Linked DNA regions of Stegostoma tigrinum. The protein of the gene in region 1 interacts with the protein of each later gene in a pairwise test. Links are inferred from orthologs where the notes say so. Each region holds a gene or a part of one and is shown in the gene's direction. Other genes may lie near its edges.

The links. The genes of interacting proteins can lie anywhere in the genome.
Region 2: the proteins of mipol1 (region 1) and utp25 interact in binary tests that used the Homo sapiens proteins (3 or more experiments, as listed by UniProt). The link is inferred for Stegostoma tigrinum from reciprocal best matches to the Homo sapiens genes MIPOL1 and UTP25.

The regions. Positions count from the first base shown.
Region 1 is NC_081363.1:57,566,856-57,577,563, forward strand, and holds the start of mipol1 (mirror-image polydactyly gene 1 protein), read left to right. Parts: upstream 1-5,611; 5' UTR 5,612-6,100; intron 6,101-6,127; exon of another isoform or gene 6,128-6,262; intron 6,263-10,708.
Region 2 is NC_081362.1:63,456,601-63,467,335, reverse strand, and holds the start of utp25 (U3 small nucleolar RNA-associated protein 25 homolog), read left to right. Parts: upstream 1-5,374; 5' UTR 5,375-5,416; coding exon 5,417-5,526; intron 5,527-7,530; coding exon 7,531-7,570; intron 7,571-9,361; coding exon 9,362-9,596; intron 9,597-9,901; coding exon 9,902-10,117; intron 10,118-10,488; coding exon 10,489-10,574; intron 10,575-10,735. UniProt on the Homo sapiens protein: Component of the ribosomal small subunit processome for the biogenesis of ribosomes, functions in pre-ribosomal RNA (pre-rRNA) processing. Essential for embryonic development in part through the regulation of p53 pathway.

The DNA.
Region 1 (10,708 bases):
CAAGGGTCATATTAAGCTGATCAAGTCAAAGCTCACTTATATGACAAACCAAGAATGAGGCTATCAGATTCTTGGGACCAGTAATTGAAGACACAGGTAAGTTGTGGGATGGGCAAGGGAATTCTCTCTGCTGTTTGCACACCGTAATGGGATGCAGTTGGAATTACTGGCACTGTATGTAATATAATTTATCTTAAATCTATGGTATATGGAAGTAGCTTGCTTTATTCTATCTGCACTTCTTTTACATAATAAACTTTTGTTTTATTGTTAAACCCAAACCTGCATCATTGCATGAGTGTGAATTTCAGTGAAAGACCATCTCATTAAAACCAAAAGAAAAATAAAATACGATCTATCAAGCCAGATTTCAGTCTGTTATCTAATTTTTCCAGTAATAACATTAACTGGAATCATAACAAATCAATTAAAGGTATTATAAGTTTTCTATTTTAATAAAATATTGGACTATGGATTCTAAAAAGCCAACAATTCGGCTTTTAGGTTCTATGAAGGTGACGACTTCTTTAAGGTCAGAAATTAATTTGATTTTAGCAGTGGATCAAAACCGCTTTTCCAAAATATCCTGTAACTTAAGCAAGAGGACTATACATGCTGTCTGCTGAGATAAATGCTTAAGTGCTTACAGCTTTCCAAGCACCCAAAGAGAACCTGGGGGTCAAACGAAGACTCAGTTCAGAAGATCTTTATCAGCCTGCTCCAATATTCAACATGATCAAGATTGATCCTCTATCTCAACGCCATACTTCTGCTCTCTCTCATATATCTTGACACCTTCAGCTTTCAGAAAACTACCATTTATTTCTTAATTATATTCAGTGGCTTTGCCTCCACAGCCCTCCTCACCATTTGAGTGAAGAAACGTCTCACCTCAGTCCAATATGGTCCACTGCGTATCCTGAGAGTATGATCCCATTTTGGATCCCCCAGGCAGGGCAAAAAGCATATCTCCATCCAGTCTATTCAGCCTGTTAGCACTTTGTAAATTTGAATATATCCCCTCCCATACTTGCCAACTGCAATAAGAACATGCGCAATTTGGCCAGTCCCTCATCATATGACAAACCTGCCATCCCAGATCAATGAAACTTCATTACAATTCTCAAGACGATAAGAAATGCTTGCCATTTGGCCATCTCCATCATTCAGCAGGATCATAGCTAATTTGACACACATGTCCACTTTCCTGCTTTTCCCCCAGGAATATTGATTCCCCAACAAATCATAAGGCAAGCTAAGCCTTAAATATAAACAACGACTCTGCACCTGCAGCTCTCTGAGATGAGTTCCAAAGACACTTAACATTGAGGAAATTCCCCCTCATTTCAGCCTTAAGTTGGTGCCCCTTTATTCTGAGATTATGCCCTCTGATCCTCAACTCTCCCATGAGGGTAACATCCTCAGAATTTACCATCAAGTGATGAGATCGCCTCTCATTCTTCTAAATTCCAGTAAGTCATCTACCAACTGGTTTAGCTTTTCCTCCTAAGACAATGCATCCATTCCAGGAATAATTCTGGGGAACATCTGACCTGCTGCTAATGATGTTATGTATTTTCTTTAATGAACAAAACTGCTCATAGTACTGTAAATGTGGTCTCACCAGCACCTTGTACAGCTGCAATAGGATTTGTCTACTTTACACTCCAAACCCTTTGAAATAAGGGCCAACATTCCATTAACCTTTCTGATCACCTGCTGCATATGCAGCTTTCCGTGTTTCATGCAGAAGTTCTCCAAAATCCCTTTGTTTTGCAGCATTCTACAATTTTTCTCTATTTAAATAATACTTTTGTTCTCCCTTTGGAAATAAACAACTTCACATTTTCCCACATTACATTCCATTTGGCAACATTTTGCCCACTCACTTAACTGATCAATATTGTTCTGTAAACTATTTTCATTGCTCTTTCAACTTGTCTTTCCACCTATTTTTGAGTCATTTGCAAATTTGGCTTCCATACAAATGCTTCCTTACTCCAAGTTATTAATATAACAATTGATATCCTAGCACTAATTCCCGTGGAACCACACTGATTACAGGTTGCTCCCTGAAGGAGAGGCCCTTATTGCTGTTTGCTGCCATCAACCAATTCTCCATCCATGCCAATATACTACTATTAACACTGAGGATTCTTAACATTTGATTTAACCTTTTGAGAGGTCCCTTGTCAAACTCCTTCTGGATGTCCATACACCACATTGACTGGGTCTCCTCTGGTTCAGACTTCGTCAAAAAACTAATACATTAGAATAGACATGGTTTCCCTTTCATGAAACCATGCGGATTTGGCTCAATGAAATTAGGATTTTCAAAATGTGCTGCTATTGCTTCCTCAATAATTTATTCCAAATTTTTCCAACTATAAATGTTGGGCAAATTGACCTAGAGTTACCCACTTTTGCATCTCTTCCATTTTGAATATGGGTGTCACCTTAGCAATTTTCCAGTCCTTCGGCACATCTCCAAAATCAAAGGAATTTTGGAAAATTACATCACTATCTCTGCAGCTACATTTTCTAGGAATTTGAGAATGCAAAGCATCATGATCAGGGACTGATCTGCCTTTAGCCACATTCGTTTGTCTGATATTACTTCTCTAGTGATGAGAATAAATATATCTTTTCTTCCCTTAGGGACAGCAAAGCTAATGACAGTACTCTAGGCACGGTCTCAACAAGGCCCAACACAGCTGCTGTAAGATATCCTTACTCCTCAGTTCAAACCCTCCAACAAGAAGGGCAATCATATAATTTGCCTTTCTAACTACCTACTATATTCGCTTGCTTGTTTTCAGTGGCCACATGTACAGTTTTTTTTAGCTTCATGGAAGTCTTTGACTCAATCAATCATGATGGCTTATGTGTATCCTTCTAGAATTTGGGTTCCCTCAAATTTGTCAACATCCTCTGCATGCTGTATGGCATGCAAGCCAGAAATGGAAGCCAGTAAAGGAAAGCACATATACTACACATCAGAAGAAATAATAGATAGCACACCTATTCCATTAATGTTACTGAAATTGCTCGCAATTAAATGAAATTTGGAACTCTGAACAAACCTGATATTTAGCATGTGCAATATCATAGAAACTAGACTTCTTTCATTTTAGCAACTTGCCATTCCCTGCTCACGATGTGGTCTATTGTATCCTGGCAAAACTAAATACGGATTATAGGGTCAAAGAGTTATACAGCATTGAAACAGACTCTTCGGTAACTTGTCCGCACCAACCAGATATCTGAAACTGGTCTAGTCCCATCTGCCATTATTTGACCCATATTCCTCTAAACTCTTCCTATTCATGCATGCATCTACGTGACTTTTAAATGTTGTAACAAACCTGCCTCCACCACCTCCTCCTCCTCCTCCTCTGGCAGCTCATTCCAAGCATTGCACCACTGTCCCCATGAAAAAGTTGCCCCTCAGGTCCCTTTTAAATCGTTTCCCTCTCATATTAAGCCTATGCCCTCTGGTTTTAGACTCCCTTTCCTGTGAACAAACCTTGGCTATTCATCCTATCCATACCTCTCATTGATTTTCTAAACATCTATAAAGTCACCCCTTAGTCTCCTATAATCCAGGAAAGCAATGGCTCCCACTTAAACTCAAACAGTCTAATCCTGACAACAGCCTTGTATGTCTTTTCTGAGCCCTTTCAAGTTTAACAGCATGTTTCCTTTGGCAGGGAGATCAGAACAGAAGGCGATATTTTAAAAGTGGCCTCAACAACATGACATCCCAATTCCTACTCAAAGTTCTGACCAATGAAGGAAAACCTGCCCAATGCCTTCGTTTTGTGGGATATCCCCTGCAGCCCTCAAACGTGTCCCTGAAATTCAATCTGTCAACCATTTTAATTCTCTATTCACAACCATCTTGACATCTATTCTGTTCAAGTGAAGTGCATTTTCAATTGGTGTTTACAGAACAACGTCTTTTGTTTAGGTACTTTATAGCTTTCTGAAATTAACATGAGTTTAACTATTTTAAACCATAACCCTACCTTCATTTTTAGTAAGACATCAGTTGAAATTAATTTTGCAATCGTCATTTACACCCATAAACACATTTTTCTTCCTTTGTTTACTCTATCTCCATGTTCATTTTTCCTCACATCATTCCTTCTCAGCATTTCATTTTTGATTTTTCTTTCGCAGTACTTCCTTATTGTCTGTCACTCCTCATTTTTTCCTCAAAAAGTGTCCGTTCTGATGAAGGCTCATAACAAACACTACCTGTTTGTTTCTAGTGATGCGGGAAGGTCTGTTTTATATTTATAGCAAGGTGTAGAGCTGGATGAACACAGCAGGCCAAGGAGCATCAGAGAAGCAGAAAGGCTGATGTTTCAGGCCTAGACCCATCTTTAGCATTTTTTGCTTTTCATTTCAGATATCTAGCAACTACAGGAACAAAAACAAAGTTGCTGGAAAAGTTCAGCACATCTGGCAGCATCTGTGGAGAAGAAAACCAGGCTTAATGTTTCAGGTCTGGTGACCCTTCCTTAGAACTGATGGTGGCTGGGAAAACATCAGTTTATATGCAGAAAATAGGGAGGTGGGTGGGGTAAGGAGTAAACGATGGGATAGAGCCCAAAGGGAGAGAAACACATGTGGACAGACAAAGGAGCTGCTAATGATCAGGTTGGGAGGGCGAGTACTTGTTAATGGGAACTGTTAGTGACTAACCACAGTGGATGTGTAATGGCAGGCTATGTGGTAACAAGGCCTGGTGTGTGGGGTGGGGGGGTCTGGGACATGAGAGAGTTTAGGCCCTAAAATTATTGAACTCAATATTGAGTCCAGAGGGTTGTAGGGTCCCCAAGCAGCAAATGAGGTGTCGTTCTTCCAGCTTGCATTGGGGTTCACTGGAACACTGTAGCAAGCCGGAGTCAGAGATGTTGGCCAGGGAGCAGGGTGATGCATTAAAGTGGCAAGCAACAAGTAGCTCAGGGTCTTTTGTGCGAGCAGAATGTAGATGTTTTGAGATAAGGTCGCCAAGTCTACACTTAGTTTTCCCACAAGTCTACACTTAGTTTTCCCCATGTAGAGGAGATCACATTGTGAGCAGTGAATTCAGTAGACTAGATTCCTGGAAGTGCAGGTCAAGTGTTACCCGTTGCCTGCCACTTCAATGCACCACCCTACTCCCTGGCCAACATCTCTGTCTCCGGCTTGCTACAGTGTTCCAGTGAAGCCCAACGCAAACTGGAGGAACGACACCTCATTTGCCGCTTGGGAACCCTATACAGCCCTCTGGACTCGATATCGAGTTCAATAATTTTAGGGCCTAAACTCTCCCACGTCCCAGCACCCAGGCCCACACACCAGGCCTTGTTCCCACATCGCCTGCCACTGCACACCCCCTGTTGTTAGTCATTAACAGTTCCCATTAACAACTAATCACCCTCCCAGCCTGATCATTAGCAACTCCTTTGTCTGTCCAAATGCGTTTCTCTCTCTCCGTGCTCTATCCTATCGTTTACTCCCTATTTTCTCCATATAAAGTCATGTTTTCCAGCCACCATCCGGTCTAAGGAAGGATGGTGGGACTTCAGACGTTAACACTGGTCCCCCCACCCCCCCCCAAACACAGATGCTACCAGACGTGCTGAGCTTTTCCATCAGCTTTGCTTTTGTTCCTGATTGACAGCATCTGCAGTTTTTTTGGTTTTAAATCCAGCAACAAGTTTAATTAACTTTTACACTGGCTGCTCTGACTTGTATTATTTGAAAAACAAGCCGCACACTAGCAAAAACGTAACTCGTCTTTTCTTTCGTTTCAGATACTAACTGACCTGTTGTACTTTCTGCCTACACTGTTCAATTTACAGATGACCGTAATAATCTGTGGTGGCGGCCGCAACCAGAAAGCACGGCGTGTTCAGTTTCCAGGAAAAATTAAATTAAGTTTGCACGGCGATAGAAAGTGTCAGCACAAACTTTCGATGAAATGAGACTCGTCGCTTCTCATTTGTCAAGCAGTGGATGACAAACAACTGCAATATTGTCTGTGACGACGAACAAACAGTATACGCCGCCCTAAACAAGGAACACGATTGTTCCAGAAAGCTGGCAGGTGACGATTTCTCGTGACCCGGAAGCGTTGTGTACCGTCGCTCGAGACCGTATTCGAATGCTAGACGGTTAGCATAGCCTGTTGATACTGCGAGCAGAGGGGATTTGGAGCAGGACTGCTGCGGTAGTGATGAGCTGCAACCAATATAAGTTAATCTACAGGGTCAGACAGGTTTTTTTTCGCTGCAAAGTTTCGTGTTTGCGATAAGTAAATGACAGCGAGTTTGGATTTATGGCGTTATTTAGTTGGGCAGGGTGGGTTGGTGGATGGCGAGAGAGATGGAATTTTGTGTTGTCTGTTCGTAATGGTAGCTCTCTATGCCTTGCCTTCAAAATCAGGGTAGTTGTAATCCTGTATCATTGGTGCCCTCGATGAGAAAACTAAACGATTTTACAAATAAATTAATTCGGAGGTCCGGAACACTTTGCTCGCTGTAACAATACTTAAACATAGTATACAGCGATAGCAAACATTTGCTTGTTGCAATTGACATATTGGGGTGGGCAGAATGATAGATGCCTGGTTGGTTTTCTCCTTTAATCCTACAGTTGTTAAACAAAGTTAATGATGTAACATTGTATGAATATGTGGATTTTGTTCTGGTCTAACTTAACAACAACATTGATTTGAGTTAGGCCATCTGTGCAATATTGTTCAGCTTGGTAAACATCTTGTATTAATTGGATCATGAATGGTTTGCTAGTTTGTTTGCTTTTTTGGACTGTTGTATTTAAGGTATTTTTGTTTTGGAAATATTTCCATTATGGGTATTGGAATGGCAGATTGCTTTGGTTCAAAACAATTAATATTGTGACATTTTTAAAACCCTTCAGTACTTATAGTTCATCAATTGTTGAACCAGTGAAGTTTTGTACAGTTGTCTAACTTTTTTCAAAAGCTTTCTGCTAAAATTGAACTTTAATGTTTGTTTTTGCATGAATATTAGCCATAGGATCGAACAATGTGGAAACAGGCCCTTTTGGCCCAACAAGTCCACACTGAACCTCAGTGCATCCCACCAGACCCATTTCTTTCTCTTCCTTCCCCTGTGTGCCCTCCAACCCACCTAAGCTACACATCCCTGAACGCTAGGTATTTTAGCATAGCCAATCCACCTAACCTGCACATCTTTGGACTGTGGGAGGAAACTGGAGCACCCAGAGGAAACCCACACTGAGAATGTGCAAATTCCACATGGACACCCGAGGCTAGAATCAAACCTGGGTACCCAGTGCTGTGAGGCAGCAGTGCTAACCACTGAGCCACCATGCTGCCCATATTAATTGAGGCAATTTTTTTGGAGCCATTAGAAGTCATTGCATTTGGCAAATATATCACTGACTTACTCAATGACTTAAAATAGCAAAAAATGCAATTGATTTCAAAGTGTAGAACAGCACAGTACAGGCCCTTCAACCCTTGATGTTGTGCTGACCTGCCATACCAATCTGCAATCTGAAGTCCAGGTGCTTGTCCAATGATGACTTAAAGTTGGTGAATCTACTACTGTTGCAGGCAAAGCATTCTATACCCTTCCCCTTACTGAATAAGGAAACTACCTCTGACATCGGTCCTATTATCTTTCACCCCTCAATTTAAAGCTAAGCCCCCTTGTGCTTGCTGTCACCATCTGGGGGAAAAAGGCTCTCCCTATCTAACCCTCTGATTATCTTGTGTCTCAATTAAGTCACCTCTCAACCGTCTCTCTAATGAAAACAGCCTCCAGTCCCTCAGCCTTTCCTCGTAAGACCTTCCCTTGATACCAGGTAACATCCTAGTAAATCTCCTCTGTACCCTTTCCAAAGCTTCCATATCCTCCTCATAATGCGGTGACCAGAACTGTACGCAATACTACAAGTGTGGCCACACCAGAGTTTTGTACAGCTGCAGCATAAAAACCACTTTTGTGGTGTTCTGGCAATGTATTCCATTCTGGCACAATATCATTCTAGTTCAGTCATATTTTGTGAAGTCTTGCCATAACTCCTTCCTTTGTACTCTGCCATGTTTCAGAACTGTATCCTTTTTGTGTATGCTCTTTCCTCAGTCTTCCTATCAAAACTGACTACTTAGCTCACATCAAATTTTATTTGCTACTTGTTTTTTCATTGCACAAGCCTGTCTTTTGTAATGTATCCTTGCTGTTCAATACTTGAAAGATTTTTACTGCTGCATATTTTAAAATTGTACTTTGCACATCTAGGTTATTAACATTGTTCATCAAAAAACAAGTTTCCATTACCAACCTCTGATGAAACCCTGGGGAGGCAGCCATGTCATGTCTGTTAGTAGAACCCCCAGAATCCAAAGCTAATGCTTTTAAGTACATGCATTTAAATGGCAAAATTGGAATTCAATTTAAAAACAACTGAAACTAGGAGTTAGCCTCATGGCAGCCACAGTTGATTGTCGTAAATCTATCTGGTTTTTTAGTATCCTTAAGGAAAAGAAATCTGCTGTCCTTAGCTGAACTTGGTTGCATGTGATTTCAGATTCACAGCAATGTGGCTGACTTTTAACTACCTAAGATGATCCTAGCAAACCACTCGGATCAAAAGACAACTAGAGATGGGCAATAAAAACTGATCGAGCTTGCCAAGTTATGGCTGCCTCCTGTCCAAACTTCAGTTGCCTTGCTTCCTGTCAGTTGGACAATTTGTATATGTCACCACTTATTGCATGAGCTTCAACTTTGCTGACAAGCCTAATATGGCATTTTTTCAAACACCCGTCAGAAATGCATAAACTAGATTAATTGGGTTTTTTCAAGTAAATAAGACTTGCCCTTTGTGAAAAGCATCTCAGATTAGTGCTTGAGCTATGTTCACTCAGTTCTGAGTGAGTCAGCTTTTTAAAAGAAATCTAGTTGACTATTTGCCAGTAGCATTGAGAGAAACACTAAGGCAGTCAACCTAACGTCATGGTGTTGCTTTTCTTGGTTGTGCAAAGTCAAGGAGATTATTTTGTTTATATTCATAGACCTGAAGAAGCACAGTAAGATATAATGAAAAGCACTCAGGATTTGAATAAACTGTGACTTTAAATCCTTCCTTTCATAAGTAAACTAGTAAGGTGGTGGTGGGACCCAGTGAGATAGTGAGGAAAGAGCAGTCCAAGACTGTTATCTTACTCTTTTTCCTAACTATCAGTCAGGGCAGGCAGGAACAAAGCAGAGAATGAGATGTGCTTCTTAGACAATAAAATGTGAGGCTGGATGAACACAGCAGGCCAAGCAGCATCTCAGGAGCACAAAAGCTGACGTTTCGGGCCTGGACCCTTCATCAGAGAGGGGGATGGGGAGAGGGAACTGGAATAAATAGGGAGAGAGGGGGAGGCGGACCGAAGATGGAGATTACAAGAGAGTTGCAATGGGAGAGAGATTCCCTGAGGATGGTCCGGAGGGCGGAGGGTGACTTCTTCAGGTTAGGCATCCCTGGAAGAGGCTTCGCAGTGAGGTTAAAATAGTATCAGAGATAATGGGAACTGCAGATGCTGGAGAATTCCAAGATAATAAAATGTGAGGCTGGATGAACACAGCAGGCCAAGCAGCATCTCAGGAGCTTCTTAGACTGAACTGTATTTGTCATCCATCCTAACAGGGAATGCAGAAACTGAGCATGATTCAGAACATGGGACTGATGTCGTAGCAATTGCAGAGATGGATAGGATAGCAGCTTAATGTTGCAGGGAATAGATGCCATAGGAAGCTGAGAGGAGAGCAAGAGGGAGGAGTGGTGTTTTAATTATGGATAACATTAGATCTATACACAGATATTCCAGGGAGTGTGTCTAGGGAATTTATTTGGGTAGAACTGAAAAATAAGGGAGTGATCACTTTTATTGGGATTATATTGTACACACCCCCAGTGGTCATCAGGAAGTTGAGAAACAAATTTGTAAAGAGGCCTCTGGTATCTGAGAATAATAGGGTGGTTATGGTAGGGATTTTAATTTTCCAAATACGGACTGAGACTGCTGAAGTATTAAGGGCTTGGATGGAGAGGAATTTAAGTATATGATTCTGATATAGTATGTGGATGTGCCTGCTAGAGAGTACAAAACTTGACCTACTGTTGGGGAAATAAGGCAAGGCAGGTGACAGATGTCAGTGGGGGAGCACTTTGGGGACAGCAAACAATCCTATTACTTTTAAAATAGTGATGGAAAAAGATCAGATCTAAACATTAAAGTTCTATATTGGAGGAAGTCCAATTTTGATGGTATTGGGCAAGAACTTTCAAAAGTTGATGTGGATGTTGGTAGGCAAAGGGAAGGCTGGAAAAGGGGAAACACTTTAATGAAAGCCCAGAGACAGCGCCTTTGTTAGTGAAAGGCATGGCTGGCAGATCTAGTGCATGCTGGATGACTAGAGAAATTGAGGGTTTTGTCAAGGGGGGACAAAGATGCAAGTGTGTCAGGTAATGACAAAAATTCTCGGGCTTCACTCGATCCCATAAAAGCAGTAGGAGTGTACTTGAAGGGGGAAATCAAGAATGCAAAAAAGGGACATGAGATGGCTTTGGCAAATTGGGTGAAGGAGAATCCAAAGAGATTCTGTAAATGTTAAGGCCAAATGGGTAACTAGGGAGGGAATAGGGTTCCTTTAAA
Region 2 (10,735 bases), on another chromosome or scaffold:
CAATTTTGCTGAATACATTTACTAAAAATGGCTGGTAAATAAATGCAGCCTTAGTTATTCAGCTTAGAAGTAAGTGCTGAATTTTCTTTTAGGGGCACAGTGGCTAACTCTGATGCCTCACAACACCATGAGCCCCGGTTCGATTCCACACTTGGATGACTATCTCTGAGGAGTTTGCACATTCTTACCTGTTTGTGTGGGTTCCCTCCGGGTGTTCTGGTTTCTCCCACAGTCCAAAGATATGCTGGTTAGATGGACTGGCATGCTACATTGCCCATAGTGTCCAGAGTTGCACAGGCAAGGTGGATGAGCCATGAGAAAATGCAAGGTTACTGGGATGGGTCTGGGTGGAATGCTTTACGGAATGTCAGTGTGGACTCAATGAACTGAATGACCTGCTTCCACATTGTAGAGATTCTGTGAATGTAGGTGGATGACACTTGATAAAATAAGAATAAATGAAGCAGATCATACTTTTATCTTTTGGTGGCACAGTGGTTAGCACTGTTGCCTCACAGCACCAAAACACCAGATTCGACTCCATCCTCAGGTGAATATGTGTAGAGTTTGCACATTCTCCCTGTGTCTGTGTGGGTTTCCTCCAGGTGCGCTGGTTTACTCCCACAGTGCAAAGATATGCAGGTTTGGTGGACTGGCTGTGCAAAGTTATCCAGAGTGTCCAGAGATGTGTAAGTTAGATGGATTAGCCATGGGAAAATGCAGGGTTACAGGGATAGGGTGGGTCTGGGTGGGATGCTCGTCAGAGGGTCAGTGCGGACTCGACGGACTGTTTGGCCTATTCCACACTGTAGGGATTTTATGAAATATTTCAGCATATGACATATTAGACATGAATTTAAGAAAATTATTTTAAGTATGGTATGATTTGTAAAATAAGATATTTTTGTTTTCAAACTATTGTGGAACAGCATAAATTTGTTCAGCTCATTATAAAGTGTTGAAATATTCAGCTTATTATACCTCAAATTATGGATGCATAATTTCTAACATGATGACATTTCCTCAAATATCATAAACAGTTTTGTACAGTACAACTAATTTATAAATAAATAGTCCAAACATGAATGTGCATATCATAACAGCGATTCCAAGCAAACATATGGATGATATTAAATCAGAGTGCTTGCATAGCTCATAATGGTCATTAGCTCAAAACCAAGCTTTTGAAATGTGTGTTGTACAGTATAAGAGCAACTGAGATTGAGGCAGCACGGTGGTTCAGTGGTTAGCACTGCTGCATCACAGCGCCAGGGACCTGGGTTCGATTCCCCCTCAGGCGAATGTCTGTGCAGAGTTTGCACATTCTCCTTGTGTCTGTGTGGGTTTCGTCTGGGTGCTCTGGTTTCTTCCCACAGTCCAAAGATTTGCACTTTTGGTGGATTAGTCATGCAAAATTGCCCATAGTGTTCAGGGATATGTAGATTAGGTGGGTTCTGAGGGACGGGTCTGGGTGGGAAGCTCTGAGCGGTGGTGTGGACTTGTTGGGCCGAAGGGCCTGTTTCCACCTTGTAGGGATTCTATGAAATGCAGATTGGTTCCATAACTACAACTAAATTGTAGTTCAAGTCCAGATGCTAATGCTATGAATTTACACCAGTGATGTAATCATTTCAAGTCAATCACAAAGTATTCCACAATATTTTGTTGAATCAGACTTGGTTCCAGTTGAGTGCTTGAAAATTACTTTTATATGACTTCTGAACCCGTCTTGTACTGAGGTGTTTTAAAAATGTATTGCAAATGGATCTTTATCCTATTTTACATAATCATCCGCTATTATATCAAATAATCCAAAGCCATACATCCCTACTTTGGCTTATCTAAACTTGTTCCCTCTACCAGTCTGTTCATCAAAATCTATCTGTAAATCAAAACACAGGAAAAAAAAATCAAGTTGCCTTGCTTAATATGTTATCAATGCTATCAAATTCCCAACCGAGCCTCATTACAAGACCATACTGTTTCTGGCATTAGATGATGAGAGCTGTCCAGCTTTTGACCAAACCACCTCTTTCACTTCCATGATCAATAGTCTAAATCTGGCTCTGAGTTAGGATCCCATCTCTCAAAACTACGAACAATATTCACTAAACAAATACTCTACTCTCCACACTCCATATTCTCAACTGCTGCTGTTTGTTTCCTTTCTCAAGTCTTGGATCAACACTGTGGTGTTGCCACTGTCTTCCCAACTTCATCACCATTTCCTGCTCAAACTCTGTTTTATTTTTATCAATACAAAGATACTTGGTAAAGTCACCAACAACCTTTGTGAACGTGACCAACGTTGAGTACATTTCCTCAACCCCAACCCTACCATCAGTGTGGTGAACTACTCTGCTGTATTGTTATTCTCCAAAGTTCATGTCAGTGGCACCACTCTTGGCTGGTCCAATTCCTTATTACAACAGATATTCTATTGCCTCGACTGACATCTATTCCTGGAGTTTCCTGACATGACGAGCTTGACTTTTTCCTCATCATATACAGGCTATTGCATTATTCGATCAGAAGAATGGGATTATCTTTTACATCTGCAACGTGTGCACATCACTTGTCTGATTCCTACTCCTCCAATGCAACATGATTGAAGACAAGATAGATGGAGTGATTTTTTGACAATATAGGCAGTTTAATGTTTGACAAACTGCAGCTGATGAATGGTGATACTAAGAAAGCAGAGAAGAGACGTTTAAATAACAATATCTAATAGTGAGATATCACAGATAAGAATTTCAATGGGACTACAGGAGGGATAGACAATACTGCAAAGGTGGAAAGAAGTGGTCATAGATGTTGATAGCATGAGCATTTGAAGCTTATCTTTTAAGTCAAATATCTGACGAGTTCTACACCCCATAACTGACAACATTGAAAAGCCGTAGGTAATAAGTACTGCCTTTAATTTTCAGCACCGACACTGGAGTACCAAACAGTGTTTTTTTAAATGAGGAACTGTCTCAAAGGTGTCAGCTTTCAGATGATAAGTCTAGTCTGCCTTCTCATTGGATAAAGATGAAAAGGCAGTATTGGTAGAGCAAGGGTTCACCCAGTTTCTTAGCCAATGTTTGTACTCCAATTAATATAATTTATCTATGCATTTATTTCAGTGCAATCTTTGGGAATCTTGTCTTGCACAAGAATCTTGGCTTTCACATTTTCCTACATAACAGCAGCAGCATTTCAGAAAGTTTCAAACCAGCTGTAAGGTCTTTGTAGGTGTTATTTAATTCAAATTCTTTCAACAGAGAAGGATGGCATGATGTGGCCACTACTAAATGCGGTGAATGCAATGAAAAATCATCAAAAAAAAAAAAAATCATTCTTGATTTTAGTAATTGTAGTCTTGAAACCTGCAAACATTAGCAGGATTGTCAGGATTCACAATGTGCTATAGGGCATAGAGCTGATCAAGAACATATCTGAAAGTCTTTAAAAAGATTACAGGTGAGTGAGCTAGTTAAAGAAAATGAATAGTTTGAGGGTTTTTTAGAGGAATGGTTTTCATAATAGCCAGCAGAGTGTAATTCAACAAGCAAACTGTGCCATTAACAATGACAGATACTAAGATGGTTGGACAAAGTAATTTACTGTGGTTGGAAGTTAAATGTGGATGGAATTGAGGGAGCAGTAAATAGAAGACAAGTATAGAGGGAAGGCAAGCATAAGAGGGGATGCAAAAATATGGCAATGGGAGAAACTGTAATGTAACAGGATTTGTAAAGATAACAGGATGAGATGTCCATAAAAATTAATCTTAGAAACAGCTACATGCCATTTTCAAACAGAAACCAAGGAAGCCAAGCCTATCACACCTAGTTAACAAGGTGTAGAGCTGGATTTCGGACCCACACCCTTCATCAGTTCCTACAGCCTTCCTGCTCCTATGATGCTGCTTGACCTGCTGTGTTCATCCAGCTCTACACCTTGTTATCTCAGATTCTCCAGCATCTGCAGTTCCTACTATCTCTATCACACGTAGTGCCTGAAAATGAGATGTGGACGGGAGCAAAAGCTCATCACAAAGAAAAAGGACACAAGTATATAATTGGTTTTGAAAGATAACAGAAAAATGTTTAATGGAGTTACAATGCAAATTGAGTAAAACATGTCAATTGCCAATGAGAACAGGGTTTCTCAAACCGGGCAGTGAGACCCAATCCCAACCTCTCTCCCCATTGCTCACAGAGGAACCGTTAGCACAGTGCGGAAGAACTGCAGTAAAATTATTCCTAAAGGTTTGCAGAAAAAGTGAATCAATTGTAAAATGAAACTTTTAAAGTGCTCCTTCTGCACATGTCGTCTACTTACACAGGACGATCAACTATCGTTCGGGTCGAGTGAGGGAGATAATTACATGAAATTCAGGGTCACACACAACAACCCTGAAAAATCCAGCGGCAGGTTATTGACAACAATCTGTTTATATTTTTCAATAGGTGAAAAGATAATTTCACGTACATCATGCTGCAGATATCCCAGGAATTCGGGAAATACTGTGTAGAAAACAGTGGCAGACAGGAGTCAGGATGAAGTCAACCAGGAGTGAGGGGAAAAAGGGAAATATATCTCACGACTAATGTCCGACCAACAAAAGGCTACAGAATGAAATAAACGGGTCTGTTAAAGCACGGGAACCCTATTCTCGGTTTTCCAGTTAAAGGAGTAATCTTTCAAATGAAGAATGTTTCACATTTCTAACAGCTATTAGAACAGACCCAGTCAGTACTCTTGTCAATGAGGAAGAAAAAGTTTGTCTCAAAAACCCCCGCCCCCTTCAAGACCGAGGCGAAGGTCGGTCAGTCAGTCAGTCAGGCAGGCTCAACATAAAATACAGGATTGAGAAGCCGTTTTCTCTGATGAAGGGTCTAGGCCCGAAACGTCAGCTTTTGTGCTCCTGAGATGCTGCTTAGCCTGCTGTGTTCATCCAGCTTCATGCTTTGTTATCCTGTCCTGGTTATCGTCCCCACGGCAACATCAAGAAAGAAAAGAGCTTTCCGAAGCATACTTGCCTCCATCGTGTTATTAAATTTCCCTCCAATCAAACCTCCCACGGTTTAAGTAAGGAATTTCATTCCTGCACAAAAAGCGCCCCATGACGCAAACCGAAACCAAAATGACAACTACACGACCGCTCAACCAAACCTAAAACAGGGCCTTCCCCTCTGATTGGCGTTTCGTTCACGATTTTTGTTGCCGCTCTGCCCTTCAGCCGAAGCACTTATTGAACGGCACCAGCGTCCGTCAAACTGCCTTTCAGTCTCATTGGGTGGAGCTGTACCGGTTAGCTTTCAGGTAGGACGGCTGAGCTAATAGTGAGAACCCGTATTGGGACGTGGCACCGAGTTGGTGTCCAATCGGAGAGCAGCAGGCGTGCGCGTGTTGTCGGGGGGAAATGGGGAAAAGAAAGAGTGGAAGAAAATCGCAGCGTTTTGGGAGTAACTTAACCAAGAAGCAGAAAAAACATCTGCGGGAATTCGGGGAGCAACATCCCTTTCACGATGAGTGAGTCTGTCTGCTTTAGAATCACCTTAAATTGGCCGTCGCTCCCAGTCTTGCACCCGTGTTTCGGTCTCATCATCCTGAAGTGTGGTGTTGGAATAATGTGAACAATTTTCGAAGTTTAAAGTCGAATTATACTGACATTGGAGGTAGTGCAGAGAAGGTTCATGAGACTAATCCTGGATGTAGTGGAGCGCTCTTATGAATATTGTGTGGGTTGGGCCTATACTCATTGTAGTTTGAAAGAATGAGAGGCAACTTTGGTGAAACACGTAAGATTCTTCAGGAACTTGACAGGGTAGATGTGGAAAGTTTGTTTACCCTTAGGGGCGAGTCTAGAACCAAGGGTATAGCCTCAGAATACGAGACCATACATTTAAGAACATGGGTTTAATAATTTTTTAAAAAGTGCAGGATTAAGCAATTCAGTCCCTAGAACCTTGCATCCATTGCTGTGTGGGATAGTGAATTCCACAAATTCTTGACCCTTTTGGGAGAAGTAATTCCTCTTCATCTATTTAAAATTTGCTAGTGGCAAGAGGGTTTCTTCTCTAAGGCTAGTGAATCTTTGTAATTCTTTACTGCAGAAGGCTGTGAGGGTAAAATCACCATTGTTCCAGAGAACCATAACACTGTTGTCTCAGTAGCGGTCTCCAAGCCTCAGGTCAAGTTGAGAAAGTGGGACCTTTTGTGGCAACTTCACCTGGAGCGAGCATTTAACCTGGCTGTTGAAGTCTTTTTCACAAACCGGCAGTCCAGGGACTGTCAAAGCTGTGACATTCAGTATATTCGAGGCTGAGGGAGACAGATTTCTAATCGGTGGGGAAATTGAGTGGGATAGGGAAAATACAGGAAAGTAGAGTTGGGGGTTATCAAGTTGGTCATGGTCTCATTAAATGGTGGAGCAGACTCGACGGGCTGAATGGTCTGCTTCTTCTCTGACATCATATACTGTGATCGGTTTGCTCTGAAATTCTTTGCCCATTGTGTAACTATCAGTATCTGTAGCCTCCATATGTCCTCTACATGACTTAGTTTTATGCTTTTTCTGTTATCTGCAAAATTGGCCATCTTACCTTCTGTTCCTTTAAACAGGTCATTTATGAAAATTGTAAACAATTGAAGTTCTTGCACTAATTTATATGGCACACCATTACATCTCACCAACCACGAAAAGATCCATCTTTGCCTACTCTCTGCCAATCTGCCACTCTATCCATGCCAATATACTACCCCATGTTGGAATAATGTGAACAATTTTCGAAGTTTAAAGTCGAATTATACTGACATCGGAGGAAAATAAAACATGATGTTTTATTTTCAACGGCAACATTTGATGTGGCAACTTCTGAAATACCCTCTAAAAATCAGAATGCTGAAAATTAATAACTTATAATTATTAGCATGCCTTTAACAACAGATTCTGATGTTTTCCCTATGGCAGACATTAAACTGATTGGCCTGTAGTTTTCTGTTTGTTGATTCCTCGTTTTGACTAAAGGAGAAACATTTATTATTTTGCAACCCACTACAATTGTATCTTGTTTTGGAAAAGAAAATTAAAATCAACATATTACCTATCGCAGTTGGAACTTATTTTGAGAACATAGAATAAAGACGTTGCCAATAGAGTGTGGAGCTGGAGGAACACAGCATGTCAGGCAGCATCAGAGGAACAGGAAAGTTGACGTTTCGGGTGTGCATCCTTCATAACCAGCCCTAACTTCCCCCCCAGCTCCACACTGTATTGACTGATTCCAACATCTACAGTTCTTGCTGTCTCCAAATAAAGATGCTTGTTAGTTTTCAATGCCAGCGATTTACTCAGTACTACTTGAGTGATTGTAATTTTCCTGAGTACCTCACACCCTTTTATTTTCTGATTTATTATTGCTTCTGGGATGTTGCTTTATATCTTTTATAGAGAAAATTATAAAATACCTGCTCAATTTGTCTGCCATCAGGCTATCTTGCAATTCTGTGTAATATTTGGGTATTATTTTGCAGGATTTTGGAAAAAGCAGCGCCAGTTCAGATTGTTGATCCGGTGAGTTTTGAATACTACTATTGTGGATTCTTTGTAGTATCTGGAGGTAACACTGTCTGGAAGACAGAATGCTTCATGTGTTAGTTAAACTTAATTTTAAAAATATTGAATTAAATGGCAGCTAGAAATGAACATCTCTGGAAATGTCTAGATAAAACACGCAATGTTTGATGGGTTGAGAGTGCAAGTTCTTTGCTGTGAAAGTTTGTAACAATGATGTAGGCACTGATGTTTATTTTAATAGTTTATTATGCTTAATGCTAGAAAAAAAGACATTTCACAGAGATAATTTAAGTAAACATTAAGTAAACATTACACCAAGACACAGATGACAGGTGTTAGACCCGTTTTCCAAAAATCAAAGGAGGTGCAAGGTTTATGAAAGAATTCCCAAGCATGGAAATGTAGATAGCTAAAGAAACAGCTAGTGTAGGTAGAGTGAAGAGAGTGGGAGAATGTCTGACTTTTCTGGACAGTGTCAGAAATTACACAATGCTATTTCAAAGTGACAGGAGGAAAGTTAATGGGAGATATGCGTGGAAAATTCTTTATGCAGAAGGTGGTGGGTGCCTGGAATGCATTGACAGTGGAGGTGGTAGATGCAAACATGATAGTCTCTTTAAAGATGTATCTGGACAGGTACATGGATGGGCAGAGAGCAAAGGGATACTGACCCTTAGAAAATAGATGACAGGTTTAGACAGAGGATCTCAATCGGTGCAGGCTTAGAGGGCTAAAGGGCCTGTTCCTGTGCTGTAATTTTCTTTGTTCTCTGTTCTTTTTAATCCAGCAGTTTTATTTGAAGTCACAAGCTTTTGGAGCCTCAATCCTTTAGAAGGACTGAGGCTCCAAAGCTTATGTTTTCAAATCGACCTGTTGACCTATAATCTGGTGTTGTGTGATTTCTGACCTTGCCCACCCCAGTCTAATACTGGCACCTCCATGCCGCAGAGAAGTCGGAAGCAGTGATTGTGGGAGAAGTTTAGGATTGGACGTGCTCAATGGTAAGAAAGGGTAAAACCATCTGGGAATTGAACACTAGAATGAAAATTGAGATGGTGAGACAGTTGGAATCATTGTATGCTAGCAAAGGTAGGGATGATTAGATACAGAGGAGTTGGTGTGGAACAGGATCTAGAGTCAGAGTTTTAGATGGGTGAAAAATGTATGCATTGAGGAGGAAATTGATGTAATAGAGTTTGGAGGTGAGAATGATGTCGAGTTTTACAGTTGGACTGAGGTAATTGGGCAGGAAAACATTAACCAAGGCAGTATTTGCAATGGAGGTATACAAGTCAGAAACTCACTGTTGTTGAGCGAGGTGCCAAAAATGTAAATAGTTGGTTTCAGTCTTAGATAGTGGCTCATGAGGTTCGTACAATTCTCAGACAAAATGTCTGAAGAACATGGTGACTGCAGATATTCAATTTTTTTTTTCACTTGCTCACGGGATGAGGACATTAGTGGCTAGACCAGCATTTGTTGCTCATCCCCAATTGCCCAGAAAGCAGCTCAGAGTTTGGAGTTTGGGTTTGGAGTCACAAGTAGCCAGACCAGGCAAGGATGGCAGTTTCCTTCCCTAATGGATACTAGTGAACTAGATGGATTTTTCTGACAATTGGCAATGCGTTTTTAAAATTTAATTCAAATTCCACCATCAGCCATGGTGAGATTCAAACCTGGGTCCCAGACCATTGCCTGGGTCTCTGGATTAAAAGTTCAGTGATAATATTGCTAGATTGTTGTGTCCCTTCACCATTCTTACTATTATTTTTGTCCAAACAATTTCAGGCTGAAAGCTCAGAGCAGACCGATTCAGAGAGCGATGCAGAATCTGGTATGGAACAGATGACTGCCTACCAACATCTGTGTTCCACCTTCAAAAATGTTGCGGAGGATCCAGACTCTGGTTCTGATAATGACAGTGAAAGTGAATTTGAAGAGGTTGTGAAGGATATGATCCAAGATGAGGAGGAAGAGAAAGATGATAATGAAATCAACAACAAAAATGATGAAGGAGAAAGAGGTATTTTCTTAGTTAATTGTATTTTTTTTCTGTTATTTGAGATGTGGGCATCACTGGCTGGACCAGAATGTATTGCCCTCCCTTGGAAAGGTGTGGTGAGCTGCCTTCTTGGACCTCTGCAGTCATGTGCTGTATATGAAATGACTGGATGGGAAAGGACATTCTTAAAAATAGCAAATTCATTTTGTAAAATTAAATCAAGATCCATTCTAAAAAAGAATTATATTCTGACATTGAATAATCTGTCATTAAGTTGACTGCATGTTTCTCATTTTTCTTCCTTGGTTGTTGCTTATTGTTTACAGATGCATTCAGTAAAGCTGAAAAGAAAAGTTGTACTACAGAAGAAGAATTTCCCAAGAGTGAGGTGGCACACAGTGATAAAATTGAAAACGACAGTGACCTAGAAACTGATTTCACTGATGTGAAGAATGAAGCTAAATTCTGTTTAGAAAGTAATTTCATTGGAGATGGGAGTCAAGGTGAAAGTGAAGAAGTTGCTTATGTAAACAGTTCTGAAGGTAAAACTTTCCTGATTTCTATTTGTATTTTCAGTAGACTCCCTTGGGTGAGTTCCACAACCTGCCACTTGTAAACTTTGACCAAGGCAGTTTTATTCTACAATGTTAATGTGACTTGAGTAGGTCAATAAACATAACATGACTACAGTGCATACGTTGTAGCTTAGATATTCAGTATGAATAATTTTTGTTTCCATCTTTCAGAAAGTTATTTTTCTTTAAACCAATAGAGCAGCCTAGCTGTTTTTGGACTAGCTAAATTCTAGTGGAATAAATAGGTAGCGCAGGGCATTGCTGAAATGTGGAAGTTTAGTTATTGAACATTGATGTTCTCCTAAGCTTGCTGAACACAACCTTGTTTTTTCTTTCAGACCCATTTAAGCAACACATGGACACAGAGCTAGAGGAAGATGAAGTGAAAACTATAACACAGGTTCATAGTACAATACAGTCAAAGGTAATTGTCAACTAATTATTTAGTGTTAGAATTTTGAGGAAGTTGAATTGCTTCAGTTTTTGAGATTTTGGTTTCTGGGGAATGATTTATCATTAGTATTAAAGGTCAAGTGGTTAAGGACATTTGATGTATTCTCATTAAGGCAAGTAGGATAGTATTAA